Linked DNA regions of Stegostoma tigrinum. The protein of the gene in region 1 interacts with the protein of each later gene in a pairwise test. Links are inferred from orthologs where the notes say so. Each region holds a gene or a part of one and is shown on either strand. Other genes may lie near its edges.

What was found. The genes of interacting proteins can lie anywhere in the genome.
Region 2: the proteins of exoc2 (region 1) and ras-related protein O-RAL interact in a two-hybrid assay, tested with the Homo sapiens proteins (2 studies listed by BioGRID). The link is inferred for Stegostoma tigrinum from reciprocal best matches to the Homo sapiens genes EXOC2 and RALB.

The regions. Positions count from the first base shown.
Region 1 is NC_081355.1:15,617,280-15,625,499, forward strand, and holds the start of exoc2 (exocyst complex component 2), read left to right. Parts: upstream 1-4,913; 5' UTR 4,914-4,970; exon of another isoform or gene 4,971-5,012; intron 5,013-5,059; exon of another isoform or gene 5,060-5,287; intron 5,288-8,220. UniProt on the Homo sapiens protein: Component of the exocyst complex involved in the docking of exocytic vesicles with fusion sites on the plasma membrane.
Region 2 is NC_081360.1:89,329,830-89,338,479, reverse strand, and holds the start of ras-related protein O-RAL, read left to right. Parts: upstream 1-5,434; 5' UTR 5,435-5,535; intron 5,536-6,087; exon of another isoform or gene 6,088-6,446; intron 6,447-8,650. UniProt on the Homo sapiens protein: Multifunctional GTPase involved in a variety of cellular processes including gene expression, cell migration, cell proliferation, oncogenic transformation and membrane trafficking.

The DNA.
Region 1 (8,220 bases):
GCTAAGATTATGCAGCACACCCTTTCTGGAGTGTACAGAAAAGCCCTGCAGAACAATCCAAACATTGGGACATCATCTTCAACAAATGTATCATCTGCTCCAAGTTGACCCTGATAGAAGAATGGGCTGCGTTGTATCTATGTTTGGCCTCAGTTACGGGACTATGTAATGAAATAATTAGCAATGGTTGCAGAAGGCAGTACTTGTCTCCCAGTAAGCATCTTTGTTATGCATTCAGCCCTTGGAATGAAGCAGGAAATAAGACTTCTCAAGAATACATGCATCATGATGCAGAATTCTAAGGTGTGGTATTGATGGTCACAGATGACCTGCACATTAATCGAACGTAAGTCTTTTCTCATAATGAAGCAAACCATGTTATGATATGGCACTCTCAATGCAACATGTGTACAATCTATAGTGTTCTGCACCTGGAGGATGCCAGATATGTTGCCAAAGTCTACTGTCCGGGCTGTAGTACTGACCTTATCATTGGTAAATGAGATAAAACAGTGTGATCAGTAAGAATCTTAATACATTTGTGGATCAAAGGTTGTTAGGTGCCCATACAGATTCTCAGTGGCTCCTCAGTGGCCAGTTACGAGCAAGTTTAGCATCCACACAAAAGAAGGCAATTGCTCAGCGGTGTTATTGCTGGACTGTTAATTCAGAGGCCCAGGTAATGTACTGGGAACCCGATTTCGAAACCTCCCACGGCAGATGGTGGAGTTCTTATTCAATAAAAAAAATCTGGATTTTAGAGTCTAACGATGATCATGAATCCATTGTCAATCGTTGAACCTATCTGGTTCACTAATGCCCTTCAGGGAAGGAAACTGCCATCCTTACCTGGTCTAGCCTACATATAACTCCAGACTCACTGTAATGTGGTTGGCTCTTCACTGCTGTCTGGACAATAACTGCAAGCCCAGCCAGAAATGCCTTAATTCTGTGAATATATTAAGAAAAAAGTGCTGCAGCTTCAATTCCCACATTTGTCATAGTTCTGTGACAGTATCCTGAGATATCCTCAATCTGCAGCAAAACTGCACCTTGTTCCTCTGAGGGAAATGGCATGTAGCACAAAAGGCTCTACAATGTATAGGAAGGTTAGAGACAATTGTTGGAGGATCAGACATTTTCCTGCTGACATTGTGGATCTCATCACTGCCTATCTCACCTGCTTTACTCAAAATTCTTGTCAATGCCCTGACTTTCAGGAACTGGGAAGATTCTGCCTTTAATGTCTGGGTTTTCTGAAACAAAAATCAATCCTTGATTATCCTAAACTGAAAACAAGCTTCAATGCCTTCAGTGATTACTCTACCTGCCGTAAACCACCCCAGTACAAACAATTTTCCATCAACTCTTCACGGCATTCCTGCTCTCTGACACACACTGGATTAGATCACTGTTCAAAAAACACTGCCTCAACTAACTTTCTTCAAAAAAAACTTCATAAAAGGAGGTCACTATCTTAAAATCCAACACCTAAAAGTGATATTCATAAGCTTGTACATATTTCACACATACCTCTTTTGTTTCACCTACCAACTTTGTTTGCATTAAAGCCCACATGGTCATTGGCCACTTTGTTTGTTTAACCACTTTCTCAAATGAGATGAGAAAGGCTTCTACATTCTTCTCGTCAAATTCAAGCAATGCTTGGATATATTTAAACATATTTCCCACCAGGCCTTTGGCTACAATGGGTTTGCTCCACGTCACTACCTTCCTCACTAAGCCTACCTGCTACCTTCACCTCCATCTTTCTATGTCAAGTTTCCTGTCTAACTGCCAACTTCTAAAGTTCAAACTCTCTCTCTTTCTTCTACTAGAGCCTTTCTCTCCTTTTCTATTTGTTCTGCCAGAGTGATTCTTTCCTTTTCTCTTTCTTCTGTTTTCAACCATAATTCAAATTATTTCAGTTCAAGCTGCTTCATCTGCAATTGAATTCTAGCCATTTCCAAAGATTCCAATGACATTTCCTGCAAACTTAAATATCAAGCTGTTGCTGTAATGATCTCTCCTTTTCTTGTAAAGACAACCCCAAATACAGCTTGTCTGCCAATTCCAACAACTTTGCCTTGCTCACCTGTTGTGAATCTCCCAAAGTAACTTCTTCTACCTCCGGAGAACTCCTAGTGACTGAAAGAGGCATTACCACACAAAGCACTGTTTGAACCAACCAAATTCACCACCTGAAACAAAAGACACAAACCCCTACCACTTCCCACCTTTGAGTCTAACAACCCTAAAGCCAAACTGGAATTATAGAATTATCCTGACAAGAGGCCCCAACCTGTTATGGACCAGGCCAGACCCCCTCAAAATATTTTAGAAGGTAGCCTAGATCCTAACTTTTCCTTATTTTAAAGGTGGATGTAAAGTGGGTGTTCCAGCTGTGATGTAACTGGTCAAACCACTTGGCTTAAAGCAAAACACAATTTATTAAAACACTACAGTTAAAACATGAACAAAAGAAAGTAGAATTTAGAATAACTTAAATATAGGAAAACTTAACCAAATACTCAATACAGTAACTTAACAAATAGCTGTTCCAATATAGTAACATTGCATAAACACACTCCTTGGCAAAAAGGTAAATTCAAACACAGATCGCACTGGCAGGAGGGAACAACAGCCAGAGAGATTCCAGAGAAAGTCTGCTTAGAATAATTTACTGAAGCTTGCAACCCTCTGCTAATCAAAACATTTTGTGACTGCCACAGCGAAAAAAGTTCAGAAAAAAACGTGAACTGGGTAATCGGCCATAACCCTTCTAACTGTTACTTCCTGGTCTCTTCTGTACTTCTACCTTTACAACCTCTCTTCAAAAAAACTAAGAGCAAAATAACCTTTTTAAACTGATAGCATTGTCACATACCGCAGAAGTCTTTTACATGCCTTTGTTACCTCTACAGTACACAATGTTCATTCTCTTCCATTTAAACTTAAATCCTAAGCCAGCAGCCAATGTCCCAAACTGCAACAGGCCTTGCTCCTTCATTATCCCGGATGGAGCTGATTTACACTGGGTTGAGCAACACCTTGAATTTAAAATAGCCATCATTGTTTCCAAAGTCTACCCATTTCCTTGCTTCCTCATATCTTTGTTACTTCCATCAGCAATACAACGTGATAAAATACCTGTTCAATTTACATATTCACAAATTTACCAGCACTACTATTGGCAGCCCCTTCAGCTGCTCAGGTCATAGTAAAACTCTGGGAATCTGTCCATAAATTTCTCTGTCTCTCTTTCCTTCTTTTAAGAAACTGTTTATAATTTGAATATTTTTAGGCCTTTTATGTAAGGAAAGATATATTAGCATTGGAGGCAGTCCAAAGAAGGTTCCCCAGGTTGATCTGGTGTAGGGAGACATTTTCATATGAAGTGAGCTGGAGTAGCTTGGGCTTGTACTCATTGCAGTTTAGAAGAATTAGAAAGGACTTGCGAGGGTAGATGCACACAAGTTGTTTCCCCTTGTAGGAATGTCAAGGAACTGAGTGCATAATCTTAGTGTTCAGCGTTGCCCATTTACGACAGAAATTAGATAGATTTTATTCTCCCAGAGGGTGGTAAATCTATGGAATTTCTTGATGCAAGGCAACCAAGGATTTTGGAAATAAGGTAGGAAAATGAATTGAAAGGAGGACTTGAAGGGTTGACTGGGCTACTTCAGCTTCTATGTCTTGTTGTCTTATATTGGCTTGGCCACTGGTGAGAATGCTGTCACTCTTCTTTGAAAAAAATAGTGGGATGCTTTACGTTTAACTGAGGGAAAATGAAATCTTTAGGTGAAAACCTGATTGAAAGGCCCTCGTAGAACAGCCAGTTGTCTCCTACATTTAGCATCAACCTCCAGATAACTATTGAAAGCAATCTGGATAATTTGAAATATTATTTTAAGCAAATAAATATGCTGTAAACAGGTACTGAGATGGGTGGCACACACAGATCATGAATCATATTGGGTAAAAGTTTTCTATGGTGTGTATTTGTAGGAGAAAACATATGTACACTCTAGGTTGATGGCTTACTCGACAAGGGGTGCTCAGCAGCCACCCTTGCTCGTACATTGAGTGCAGGGAACACAGCACTTCTGCAGGAAGCAATTGGCAGGTCTTGGGATCATGTATCTAAATGAGCATACAGGCAGCTCTTACTGCCTGGTCTTGGGTCCCATTTGTTTTTACACCATAATCTGCAAAAATGAAAACCATGAAGAGAGAGCAGGCTACGGTTACCCCAGTAGAAGCAAAGTAGCTTCTCCTCGGTACCCAGGGTGTGTATCCAGGGATATCATCTTTCATGGATGCCTATAAGTTTGTATTTGGCACAAGGCAAGGCAATGATTGAATTCGGGTAAGCATTTAGCTTTATCCGCCCCAGAAAAAAATATCATGATTGAGTGATGCTTGAACATGCCGACATTTCTGTGGCATTACTCTACAATTAGCGAGGGTGGGGTGCATTGAAGGGTAGGGACAGACCTTTCAATAGTGGACAAGAATAAGCTGCAGATGCTGGAAATCAGACACACACACAAAAACAGAAATTGCTGAGGGGTACGATGCACAGCCGGTCTATGGAGAGAAAGTAAGAGTTGATCAGGTCCAGTGATGGTTATTTTTGCTTCCATCGCATGATTTTCCTCCTAGTGTCTGACACAGAAAGCTCTGACAGATTCACTCCCCTGCAGCACTGCACCAGCATTTAGTGCCTGAGTTCCAAAACGAAGACTTGCACCAACAGCCTCAAGCACGGCAAAGCAAGGAGACTAACGACTACACCACACTCGCCAGCCAGCACGAACGCCCTGGCAACAAGATGCGGACCTCATCCACGCCGCAACGGAGGAGGTGGTCACGTGACCTACCCGTTACACCCATTTCCCCTTCCCCCGGCGGTGGTTTACAGCTTGACCCGGATGTTGTTTTGCGTGGCCGGTGATGGAGCAGTGCGGGTGAGATCGGTGGGGCGAACGATTGACTGACTGACTGACTGAGTGAGTGAGTGAACGAACGAACGGGAAAAGCGCTCGGTCTCCATTGCACCCTGGTTGCCGGCAGTTACCGGTCTGGTCCGGTGTAATCCAAGCCCCGGTGGGGCTCGCCCTGACTGGGTGGGCTCCTCCGGGACTGAGGTGGAGGCTGGGCCGCCTCTGGGTTAAGGTCGTCCCTGACCTTTGGTGTTGCACCGCTGCAGCCCCAGGTCCTCACCGCAAGAAGCTCAAGTCCGATTAAAACAGGCCGTTTTTGTTTTGCCCAGGTGGTTTGACAGGTTCGTTTCATCTTGTTAAAGTTCACCTTGTTTGATGCTCTGATCGCCGCAGTTGATTGATTTCACTGTCCGACTATTTATTTGATTAAGCCAGGCCACCGCGAACAGTAAAATTGCCATAGTCCTACCAAACCATAGAAAAGACGACCGCTGGTGGTTTAACTTGAGGGTTACCACACTTTAGACAAAGGGCGAGCTGGAAAAGGTGGGGTCTTCATGGTCACCTCAACTGGTGCGGGAACAGTTGTGATGAGTAGAGAAATAGTCTCGAAACGCGTGGTGATCCAGCTTATTCTTTTCAATCTGAGCGTGCGCTGGGCAAGATCAACATTAGCATGGTCAGCATTATTTGAAGTTAGAGTCCATTCATCATAAAAGTGAATGGAGTCATCTTAGGCTTCACGGGTTAGGCATGGCATAGCATTGTGGAACAAGTGTTCATATTCAAGATCCTCTTGGTTGTTAGGTGATTAATGCTGTCATGAAAATGTACCGTGTTTTATCTGAGGACGCGATATTTGCCATGAGCAGTCGATTTTTAATCTTTAGACTAATGGTAGCGAAATGAAATGTTTGTTAGTTGACTAATTTGGTGGTTTTCAGCTTGCCAGTCAGTTGGAAGCTATAAATCTAAAAAACACAATTTGTACCTGCTACAAAAGGAAATTTAAAAGATTTTTTTAAGCTGAACACAAAAAATGTCTGTCCAGATATTGAGATCTCCAGGTAGTTTTCAACCTCGAGAAATAATTGGCTTGTTTGGGAAAAGATGTGGTTAGTAAGTTGATACATACGCATGATGTGTGCCAACAGCCAGATTTTTTTCTTGTAATTTGATGAATCTATGATATACTGTGGAAAGACTTTTTTAAAATTCACTCTGACTTGCTGTTGTAGCCGTAATATTTATATTGCTGGCCCAGTTCAGCTCTGGTCAATGGTAACTCCCCAAGATGGCAGTGCAGAATTCAGTGATGATAATGCCATTGAATGTTGAAGCGTGATGGTTAGATTCTCTGTTGATGATGCGCATTGTCTAGGCATATTTCTGGTGCAAATGTTACTTGCCACTTCTCAGCCCAACTGTGGAATATGTCCATGTCCTGTTGCATTCAGAGGCTGAGGAGTTGCGAATGATAGCGTGTTTTATCTGAGGACATGATATTTACCTTCAGCAGTCAATTTTTAATCTTTATACTAATGATAGCTAAATGAAATGTTTGTTAGTTGACTAATTTGGTGGTTTTCAACTCGCCAGTCTTATGGTCGAGGGAAGCAGCAAAGTTGAATGGGCTTTGGATATTCCCCCTAAAGAACTTTTGTGTGAAATGATTTTAGTGTCTCTTTCCCTACAATTTTTAAACTGGTTAACTGTTGAAGTATAGGCTTATCGTTGTCCAACTTAGAAAGGCTGCACATATCTATCTAGTCATAATCAGAAAATTATCTGCGATGGCTACTTTCTCATTCTGACATTGCTAGCCTGAGGTAACAATGACCTATGCTAGGTCTGCTCTTATTCTCTTGCTGCCCCTCTGTGACATTCTGTGAAAGTACAGTGTTAGATTCCTGCATATACATTGGCAAAACACAGCTTCACTTCCTCTTTTACCATCTGCTGTCTTGAAATTTTCTGATGATATGATATCCAGTACTTTCAGTAGAACTTTTTATTTTCAAACTGAATGTTGAAAAGACTTTAATTATTGTCTTCCACTCAGCCTGAAATAACTGCAGAGAAGTCGCGTGCCATCACCAAATCCCCTTTTATTTGCTCTTGCATAGTCCACTGGCTGCGGCCAGTTAGTTCGGAGTCAGTCCTCAATTGGGAAGATTCCAAGCCCCTGGTTATTTTCTTTTCTGGCTTTTTTTTTGTAAATTCAAAAACCAGAAAGATACAGTGTCATAAACACATTACATAGCATCAGTCACTATACATAAAAATAAGTTGCCAAAGAGCAGAGACATTTAGGATAGAACGTCCTAAACAATGACATCTGAATTTAAACAGTAAATCCAAAGTCCACATTAAGTTAGTGACTTAAACACACCATGTGGCAAAGTCACTAGGCAACAAGAAATTTTGTCGAAGAGCAGAGACGTTGACGTAGAACGTCGTATAGAAACACATCTTATTTGCAACAGTAGTACAAAATATTACAAGTAGACATACATTCAAGTCCACATAAGGTTACGGAGTATCAAACACGATACGTGGCAAAGTTCCTATGCATCAAGGCAAGCTGCTAAAGAGCAAAGACATGGAATTAGAATATCGTATAGAAACATCTCATTTCAAACAATAGTACAGAATGTTATAGATAAGCGCGCATTCTAGGGCTATCGGTTGGCCTGCACATGGACCAGCAAGATACAAAGGCATGATGCATACACAAAAGCATATTCTAAACAGGAAGGCAAAGTCCAGCACATGAAAGCTCAATCTTGGACCCATACACTGAAACTTGTGTCACAAAGTCTGGGTCCTGTTACCACGTTACCCTTTCATTTTACCTGTACAACAGTACCACTGGCTGTAGTGAGCCAGCTCTGAGTCAATCCTCAATTGAGGAGATTATAATCTCCTGATTATATCGGTCAGCTAAATCTTTTCTGATTGGCCCAGGTTAATAACCCCAATGAAGAACCTTGTTAATGATGTCAACCTATTTCCCAATCACTACACAGCCCCAACTGCTGTCCTCCAGCTTCGGGTTCCATTCCACTCCCTGGCTATTCTCAAGTGGAGTCATACTATTTGTAACTGTACTCACATTGGACTTCAACATGAGCTTCTAATAACTAAGGCTGTCTGCTTTCCCCTCCATAATATTGTATGACTTTGTGCCGACCTCAGCTCACCAGCTGCTGAAACTCTTAATTTGTATTTTTGTAATCTCTAATCTTGACTATCCCATTGCATACTTGGCTGA
Region 2 (8,650 bases), on another chromosome or scaffold:
AGAGAGTGGTAGTTGACGGGAAATGTTCATCCTGGAGACCAGTTACTAGTGGTGTACCGCAAGGGTCGGTGTTGGGTCCACTGCTGATTGTCATTTTTATAAACGACCTGGATGAGGGCATAGAAGGATGGGTTAGTAAATTTGCAGACGACACTAAGGTCGGTGGAGTTGTGGATAGTGACGAAGGATGCTGTAGGTTGCAGAGAGACATAGATAAGCTGCAGAGCTGGGCTGAGAGGTGGCAAATGGAGTTTAATGCAGACAAGTGTGAGGTGATGCACTTTGGTAGGAGTAACCAGAAGGCAAAGTACAGGGCTAATGGTAAGATTCTTAGCAGTGTAGATGAGCAGAGAGATCTCGGTGTCCATGTACACAGATCCTTGAAAATTGCCACCCAGGTTGACGGGGTTGTTAAGAAGGCATACAGTGTTTTAGCTTTTATTAATAGAGGGATCGAGTTCCGGAACCAAGAGGTTATGGTGAAGCCGTACAAAACTCTGGTGCGGCCACACTTGGAGTATTGTATACAGTTCAGGTCACCGCATTATAAGAAGGATGTGGAAGCTTTGGAAAGGGTGCAGAGGAGATTTACTAGGATGTTGCCTGGTATGGAGGGAAGATCTTACGAGGAAAGGCTGAGGGACTTGAGGCTGTTTTCATTAGAGAGAAGGTTGAGAGGTGACTTAACTGAAACATATAAAATAATCAGAGGGTTAGATAGGGTGGATAGGGAGAGCCTTTTTCCTAGGATGGTGACGGCAAGTACGAGGGGGCATAGCTTTAAATTGAGGGGTGAAAGATATAGGAAGATGTCAGAGGTAGTTTCTTTACCTCAACGGTAGTAGATTCGCCAACTTTAGGTACATTTAAGTTGGCATTGGGCAAGCATATGGACGTACATGGAATAGTGTAGGTTAGATGGGCTTGAGATCGGTATGACAGGTCGGCACAGCATCGAGGGCTGAAGGGCCTGTACTGTGCCGTAATGTTCTATGTACCTGGCCCTGCACTCATCCCTGGAATACGTGGTCAACAAGGATATCTATGTCAGGCTACTATTATCCAAACCTTTTCATTTGTATTCATCTGGTACAAATACAGGAATGCCAAACACCAAACGACCAAATGAATTTACGTTACAGAAAAAAAAGGAGCTTGCAAGCCAACTCTGCCTGAGGCATTGCTGTGGAGAAAGAAAAGGAGTACAATAGTTTCCCCAAGCCCATGGTTGGTTCAAGTAAGACCCAGTATGGACCATATTCCTTTTAGCTGTATACATAATGAGACCCTACATATTAATCTAAGTCACTTCTAGAAACCACAACAATGCACTAGTGAACTACCCCCAGAGAAGCAGATACTCCATCATCAAGTCACCATTTACCTGCGGAGAGTTACAGAATCATGGAGTTATAGAGATATGCAGCATGAAAACAGCCCCTTTGGTCCAACTCACCAGATATCCTAAAACAATCAAGTCCCATTTGCAAGCATTTGGCCCATATCCCACCAAACTTTTCCTATTCATGTAACCATCCAGATGCCCTTTCAATGTTGTAATTGTACCAGCCTCCACCACCTTCTCTGGCAGTTCATTCCTCTGAAAAAGTTGGGCCTCCACCCTGGGGAAAAGATCTGGGCTATTCACCATAGTCGATGCCCCTCATGATTTTATAAACTTATATAAGGTGACCGCTCAGCTTCTGACACTCCAGGGAAATTAGCCCCAGGTATTCACTTGGCTCTGATTCAGCTACCGCAGAGTGAACAGGATGTCAAGGGTCTCGGCCTGAAACGTCAGCTTTTGTGCTCCTGAGATGCTGCTTGGCCTGCTGTGTTCATCCAGTTCCACACTTTGTTATCTAGGATGTCTGACACTCCTGGTTCTTATCTGTCAGCCACGGCTCCCAAATTAACAGCCCTGATCTGTCCATCTGGCTGACCTCATTACAATCACCACAGCCTGGTCTGAAACATGATGTTACATAATTGTGTAGCAGGCAGAAAGTTTTTTCTGGATTTATTGCAATATCCTGCAAGCAAGAAATACCAATTGTGTGACTTTTGCATAGTAATAGCTTGCTTAAATCACATTTGGAGATACTTTGTTTTCCAGGTTAATTTGCAGCGGACTAGGTACTTCTGGAGGTCCAAAGTTAGGGACCTATGGCCTATTTATGTCACTACTAGAGAGGATACATATGTTAATGTTAAAGGCTCCATTGATTATTTAAAGTTGGCTGCTGGTGTAGCTATTAATGCTACACTAATTATCAGTTTGCATGATACATAGCAAACAACACCCTGATCAGGATGACCACTGCCCCAAAGAGAAGCATTGGTGCACTAATGGCATACTGCATCCATTGTACACGATGTGGCTTCCTCTACATTGGGGAAACCAAGGGGAGGCTTGGGGACCGCTTTGCGGAACACTTCCGCTCGGTTAGCAATAGACAAATGCACTTCCCAGTCGCGAACCATTTTAGCTCCCCCTCCCATTCCTTAGACGAAATGTCCATCCTGGGCCTCCTGCGGTGCCATAATGATGCCACCTGAAGGTTGCAGGAACAGCAGCTCATATTCCGCTTGGGAACCCTGCAGCCCAATGGTATCAATGTGGACTTCACAAGCTTCAAAATCTCCTCTTCCCCCACTGTATCCCAGAACCAGCCCAACTCGTTCCCTCCCGCCACTGCATCCCAAAACCAGCCCAGCTCGTCCTCGCATCCCTAACCAGTTCTTCCTCTCACCTATCCCCTCCTCCCACATCACGCTGCACCTCCATTTTCCACCTACTAACCTCATCCTGCCTCCTTGACCTGTCCGTCCTCCCCGGACTGACCGATCCACACCCCCGCACCCCCTCCTCCCCCCCGCCACCTATACTCGCTTCTCCACCCATCTTCTCCTCTATCCATCTTCAGTCTCCCTCCCCCTCTCTCCCTATTTATTTCAGAACCCTCTCCTCATCCCCTTTTCTGATGAAGGGTCTAGGCCCAAAACGCCAGCTCTCCTGCTGCTAAGATGCTGCTCGGCCTGCTGTGTTCATCCAGCCCCACACTTTGTTACTTTGATGCACTATTATCAGTTATGTTGGCCCTACATTCCCAGTGATCAGGTGATCAAATCAAACTACATGTTCCTTTAATAGTTCTTTATTGACACATTGCAGGATGCTCTTGCAAACAAAGTATCAGTTAAATGTAATTCAGCCAGTACTGCCCAACTGCAGAACTTTCCTGTACATTAATGGCTACACTAACAGCCAATATAAAATAATCAATGGAGCCTTTACCATTATTATAGAGACTTGTGTACACTCTCTTGCAGTGCCATACATTCAAAGCGATCCATTCTCTACACAAAGAAGGATTATGTTTATGCATTGACTTCCCCCCAGCCCCCCACCCCAGAAAAGTCACCTGGAACTTAGGGAGTCTATAGCCCCTCTTGTTTTCTCCACGGCAATGCCTCAAAGGTCAATTTGTAAACCAATCAGAAGCCCTTCCTCCTGCAGTATAAATTGTTGTGCTCATTTGAAATTTGGCAAACTTGTGTTTGTCCTGATGAGCACAAGAAAAACACTTCAGTAACACGCTTTTCTTTTCAATAATCTCTTCAGTCCGAGGGTTGTAAACCTTTATTATTCTCAACCAAAAGGAGTTGAGGATGCTCCATTATTATATGCAGGTAGATAAACAGTTGTTTAATTTACCAGGGAATCAAGAGATACCAGGAGAGAACAGGAATGGGACAAATCTGCTGAGAATGTATTCAAAGGCACAGCAGGATCAAGGGGCCAAGTGATCTGCTTCTGCTTCTATTCAGTATAGTCTTAAAGAACAATTGTGTAACTGCTGCTCTGTACTCTGGCACAAACATTAAAAGGGGAAGAAGGACTTCCAAGTAATATTTTAAATGAGTTGTAATCAACTGTACTATACAAAACTTTAGTTACCCCACACTTGGAATACTATGTCATTTTGGTTGCCACACAATAGGAATAATGTGGAGAGGATGTAAAAAAAAAAAAAGAGGTTCACCAGGATGTTGCCTGGACTGGATTGCATTAGCTATAAGGAGAGCGTGGACAAACTTAGACTCATGAGAGTATCGGAGACTGAAGGACAACCTGATAGGATATAAATTTATGAGAGGCATGGGTAGGGTGGAGAGTCAGAGTCTTTAATCGAGGGTGGAAATATCAAATGCTAGGGTTTAAAAGTAAGTTGAGAAAAGTTCAGAAAGGAGATGTGCACGGAAAGTTTATTTTAGAAAAATCTAGAGGACAGTACACGCCCAGAATGTGCTGCCGGGGAGCTAGTAGGGGATTAGATAGTAATGCTTAAGAGGCATTTAGACAGACGCATAGACAGGAAGAAACAAATGCATATGGACCATGTGCAGGCAGGTCAGATTTCCTTAGAATGATATAAAGGTTGGCACAGAGGGTAGAGCGAAGAGTCTGTTTTTGTGCTGTACTCTTCTGTGCTCTGTGTTCTATGTTTTATGAATTACAGCCTCTGTCATTTCCGTTATCAGATCTCAGTAATTGGCTGATGGAGGTGGGGTGGCACCATGCAGCTCTAACTGCACGGCAACAAGGAACAGGAGCAAAGTTTTTACAAAAAGCTCCTGATACACCTCAAAAATTGCATGCCATATAGACATCATATAAGATATTGATCAAATTAAATGACTAAATATCTTCTAAAAATAGCTGAAAAGGGCAGCCCTGAAGAAAAATCAGAACTGGGTAAACAGCTGTAAAACACACAGACTATATAAACATAGTAAATACAATTTGTAAAATATCCAAATATCATCAGCACTGTGAAGGATTCTCCCAAGGGCTCTTGCCAAATGACTTTATTTATATTTCTTTAAACTAAATCGTGCTTTGCTGTTGGATGCAACTTTGAAAGCAACACTGAAGGGTCTAGGCCTGAAACGTCAGCTTTTGTGCTCCTAAGATGCGCTTGCCTGCTGTGTTCGTCCAGCTCCACACCTTGTTCACTCCAATTCTGTGCATGCGCACACAGTGGTATTATCATAAACATGACACCCATGAGAGAAAACAAGAAACATGCGGCACCAAGTTGCCCACAGTAATACCATAACCAGATAACGTGTTCATTCTGTATTGTCAATTGAGGGATAAATATTGACCAGGATCTCAGAGAAAGGTCTTCTGCTCCTTGAAACAGTGCCTTTGGACCTTGTACATCTAACTGTAAGGGGAAACTGGGCTTCAGTTTAACATCACACTTGAAGACGGTATCACTGACACCCCTCAGTACAGCTTTGGAGCACGAGCATAGGTAATTATGCTTGAGTGTCCGCCCCAGTTGCCTCTGAGTCACAATGTTCCAGGTTCAAATTCCACGTCAGGACCAGTGCACAACAAAAAACAAATCTGATACATCAGTGTTAAGTGAACTCGGCACTGCCAGGGCATCAGCCTTTTCAACAAAACATTCAACTGAGGACCGTCTGTCTGCTCCGTGGCCATAAAAAAAATCTCATGACACTGTAAGTACTGCCCAATGTTTATTCTCCAAAAAACACTACAAACGCATATTAACTGGTCATTATCATACTATGTTGAGGGTTTGCTGTGAGCACGTTAGCGTGTTTCCTACACTACAACAGCGACTACAAATGTTCAAAAAGCAATTTACTGGTTGCACAGCCCTTTAAGGGTCATGGAAAGCGTTATACAATTAAAAGACAATCTCTGGAGCGAACCTGACTCAGGGGATCAAAGCGTGACAAATAAGTCAAGGCAAGACATTCAAAAGGAAGACCTACAACAGTGGAGGGGTGGGGTGAGATGAATACGCAAAGCTAAGAACCAGACTGTTTAACTGCGAGTTTATACACGCCCGAAACGTCGTTATTTAAAACTATAATAAGGTTACGGGAGAGCTACTGGCTGCGTCAGACTGACTGAATCCACCGGAGCACTTTACTATTGAACAGGGGTGGAGCAGCATGACGAAAACACAGTTCAACTCCAAATTCGGCCGTTTAAAAGCAACGTTAAACTCCGCGCAAATATTCCAAAAGTTAGGACATTTGTACCTTTGCGTTTCTCTCGAGCCAAATCTATAGACTGCACGTGGAGAGAGTGCACTCCTGCTTAAAGGATACAATAATTACTGTAATAATAGCAGTTTCAGAGTAGCAGTCCGACGCTAAGAAATTACCCGCTGCTGGTCACGAAGTTGTTACAATGTCTCTCAATCAGGGTCAACATTCCATTCGCCCCAGCGCCCATCCCCTTGTAAGACTATCTGAACACTTCAGGGATCCCACGGGGAACGTCAAAGTTAAAACGCATTTATCCACAGCAAATGCTAAGTGAAAAATAACAACTCTTGTCTAGTCGTAGCTTCAGTGTGCGCCAAGAAGTTCCTGAAAGCTTAGGAGGTACCTCGCAGCTGTCAATGTTCAGCTGCTTTGCTAACGGCGTGTCCGGTGCTGCCTCCTGCAGTCCTGGATGCTCGACAAACGAAGCGTGGCGAAAGAGGCGAGTCTCCCTGCAGCTCCCCGCCCCGAGTAGACTTTTGGATGAGAAGATTTTTTTTAAAAAAACAAAAAGTGTTGGAGAAACTTGTGGGGCGAGACAGGATCACTATGACTTCTCAGTTCTCGGGCTCAATGGGAGTTGAAACGTTAACTTTGTTTCTCTCTCTTCACAAATGCTGCCACACTTCGAGTTTCTCCAGCACATTCTGTTTTTATTTCAGTTTTCCCGCATCCACGGTGTCTTGCTTTTAAACAAGCACAGAGCATGCTGGAGAAACTGGCAGCATCTGTGGACATAGAAACAAGGTTAATGTTTTAAGTCTGGTATGACTTCTTCAGAACTGGTGTTTTGTTCCATTTAAGTGTTTAATTTCCTTAAACCAGCGCGCCCCCCCCCCTCTTATTATAAGAGGGACATCACGTAGAGTGATGAAGAGGTGTACAGCGCAGAAACAGACACTTCAATTCAACTCGTCCACTCCACACCACATTCGTCCAAATGTCTTTTAAATGGTGTAATTGTACTGGCCTCTACCACATCTTCTGGCACTGTGTGAAAATGTCGCCCTTTAGGTCCGTTTAAAATCTTAGCGCTCTCACGTTAAACCTGTGCCCTCCAGTTTTTGGACTCCCCTGCCTTGGGAAAAAGTCCTTGGCTATTCACGCTCCTGGCACTCCTCACGATTCTGTAAACCTCTATAAGCTCACCCCTCAGTCTCAGATGCACCAGGGAAAATAGCCCCAGCCTTCAGTCTCAGCAACATCCTTGTAATTTTTTTCTGAAGCCTTTCAAACTTGGCAAAATCTTTCCTATAACAGGGAGACCAGAATTAAATGCAGTATTCCTGAAGTGGCCTAAACAATGGCCTGTACAACTGTAACATGACCTCCCAACTTCTTTACTTGATGCACTAACCAGTAAAGGTAATCATACCACACACCTTCATTATTCTATTTACCTTCAACTCAAATTTTAAGGAGCTACGATCCTGCACTCCAAGATAACTTTGTTTAGCAACAGTCCCCAGGACCTTATCATTAAGCGCATAATTCTTGCCCTGATTTGCCTTTCCAAAATGCAGCACATCACATTTATCTAAATTAAACTCCATCTGCCATTCCTCAACCCATAGGCCCATCTGATCAAGATCCCGTTGTACACTGAGGTAACCTTCTTCGCTGGCCTCGAAACCTCCAATTTTGGTGTCACCTGCAAACCTGTTCACCATATCTCCTACCTTCACATCGAAATTGTTTATATAAACGTCAAAAATCAGTGGAAGCAGCACTGATCCATATGACAACCCGCTGGTCATAGGTCTCCAGTCTGAAAAGCAACTTTCCAACTTCACTCTCTGCCTTCTGCCTTCGAGAGTTCTGTATCCAAACGGCTAGATCTCCAGATATTCTAAACTTGCTAACCAGTCTACCATGAAGAACCTTGTCGAACACCTTACTGAAGTCCATAGAGATCATGTCCAACTCTTTGTTACTTCTTCAAAAACCTCAATCAAGTTAGTAAGACACAATTTTCCACGCACAAAGCCATGTTGAAGATCCCTAATCACACCTTGACCTTCCAAATACATGTAAATGTCTCTCAGAATCCCTTCCAGCAACTTGTCCATCACTAACTTTAAGCTCACTGATAGATAGTTCTTTTGCTTTTCCTTACCAACTTTCTTAAATAATCGCTCGATGTTAGCCACAGTTTGGTCTTCCGGCAGTACAACTGTGACTATTGAAGACACATAGATATCTCAGCAAGGGTCTTAGCAATCAATTCCCTAGCTTCCCACAAAGCTCTGGGATGCACATAATCAGGTCCCAGGGATTAATTTCACCTTTATGCTTTGATGTGATTTGATTTAATGTTGTCACATGTACCAAAGTACAGTGAAAAGTTTTGTTTTGCGAGCAGTACAGGGTGATCATAGCAAACAAGGACATATAGATCAGAGGCTGCTTAGACAGAGCAAGGAATACAAGGTTGTGGCTGCACAGGAAGTGCACAAAGCAAACATTTTAAGACATCCAGTACCTCCTCTTCTATAATATGGGCACTTTTCAACATAATTCTATTTATTTCCCCAAGTTCCCTAGCTCCTTCTCCACA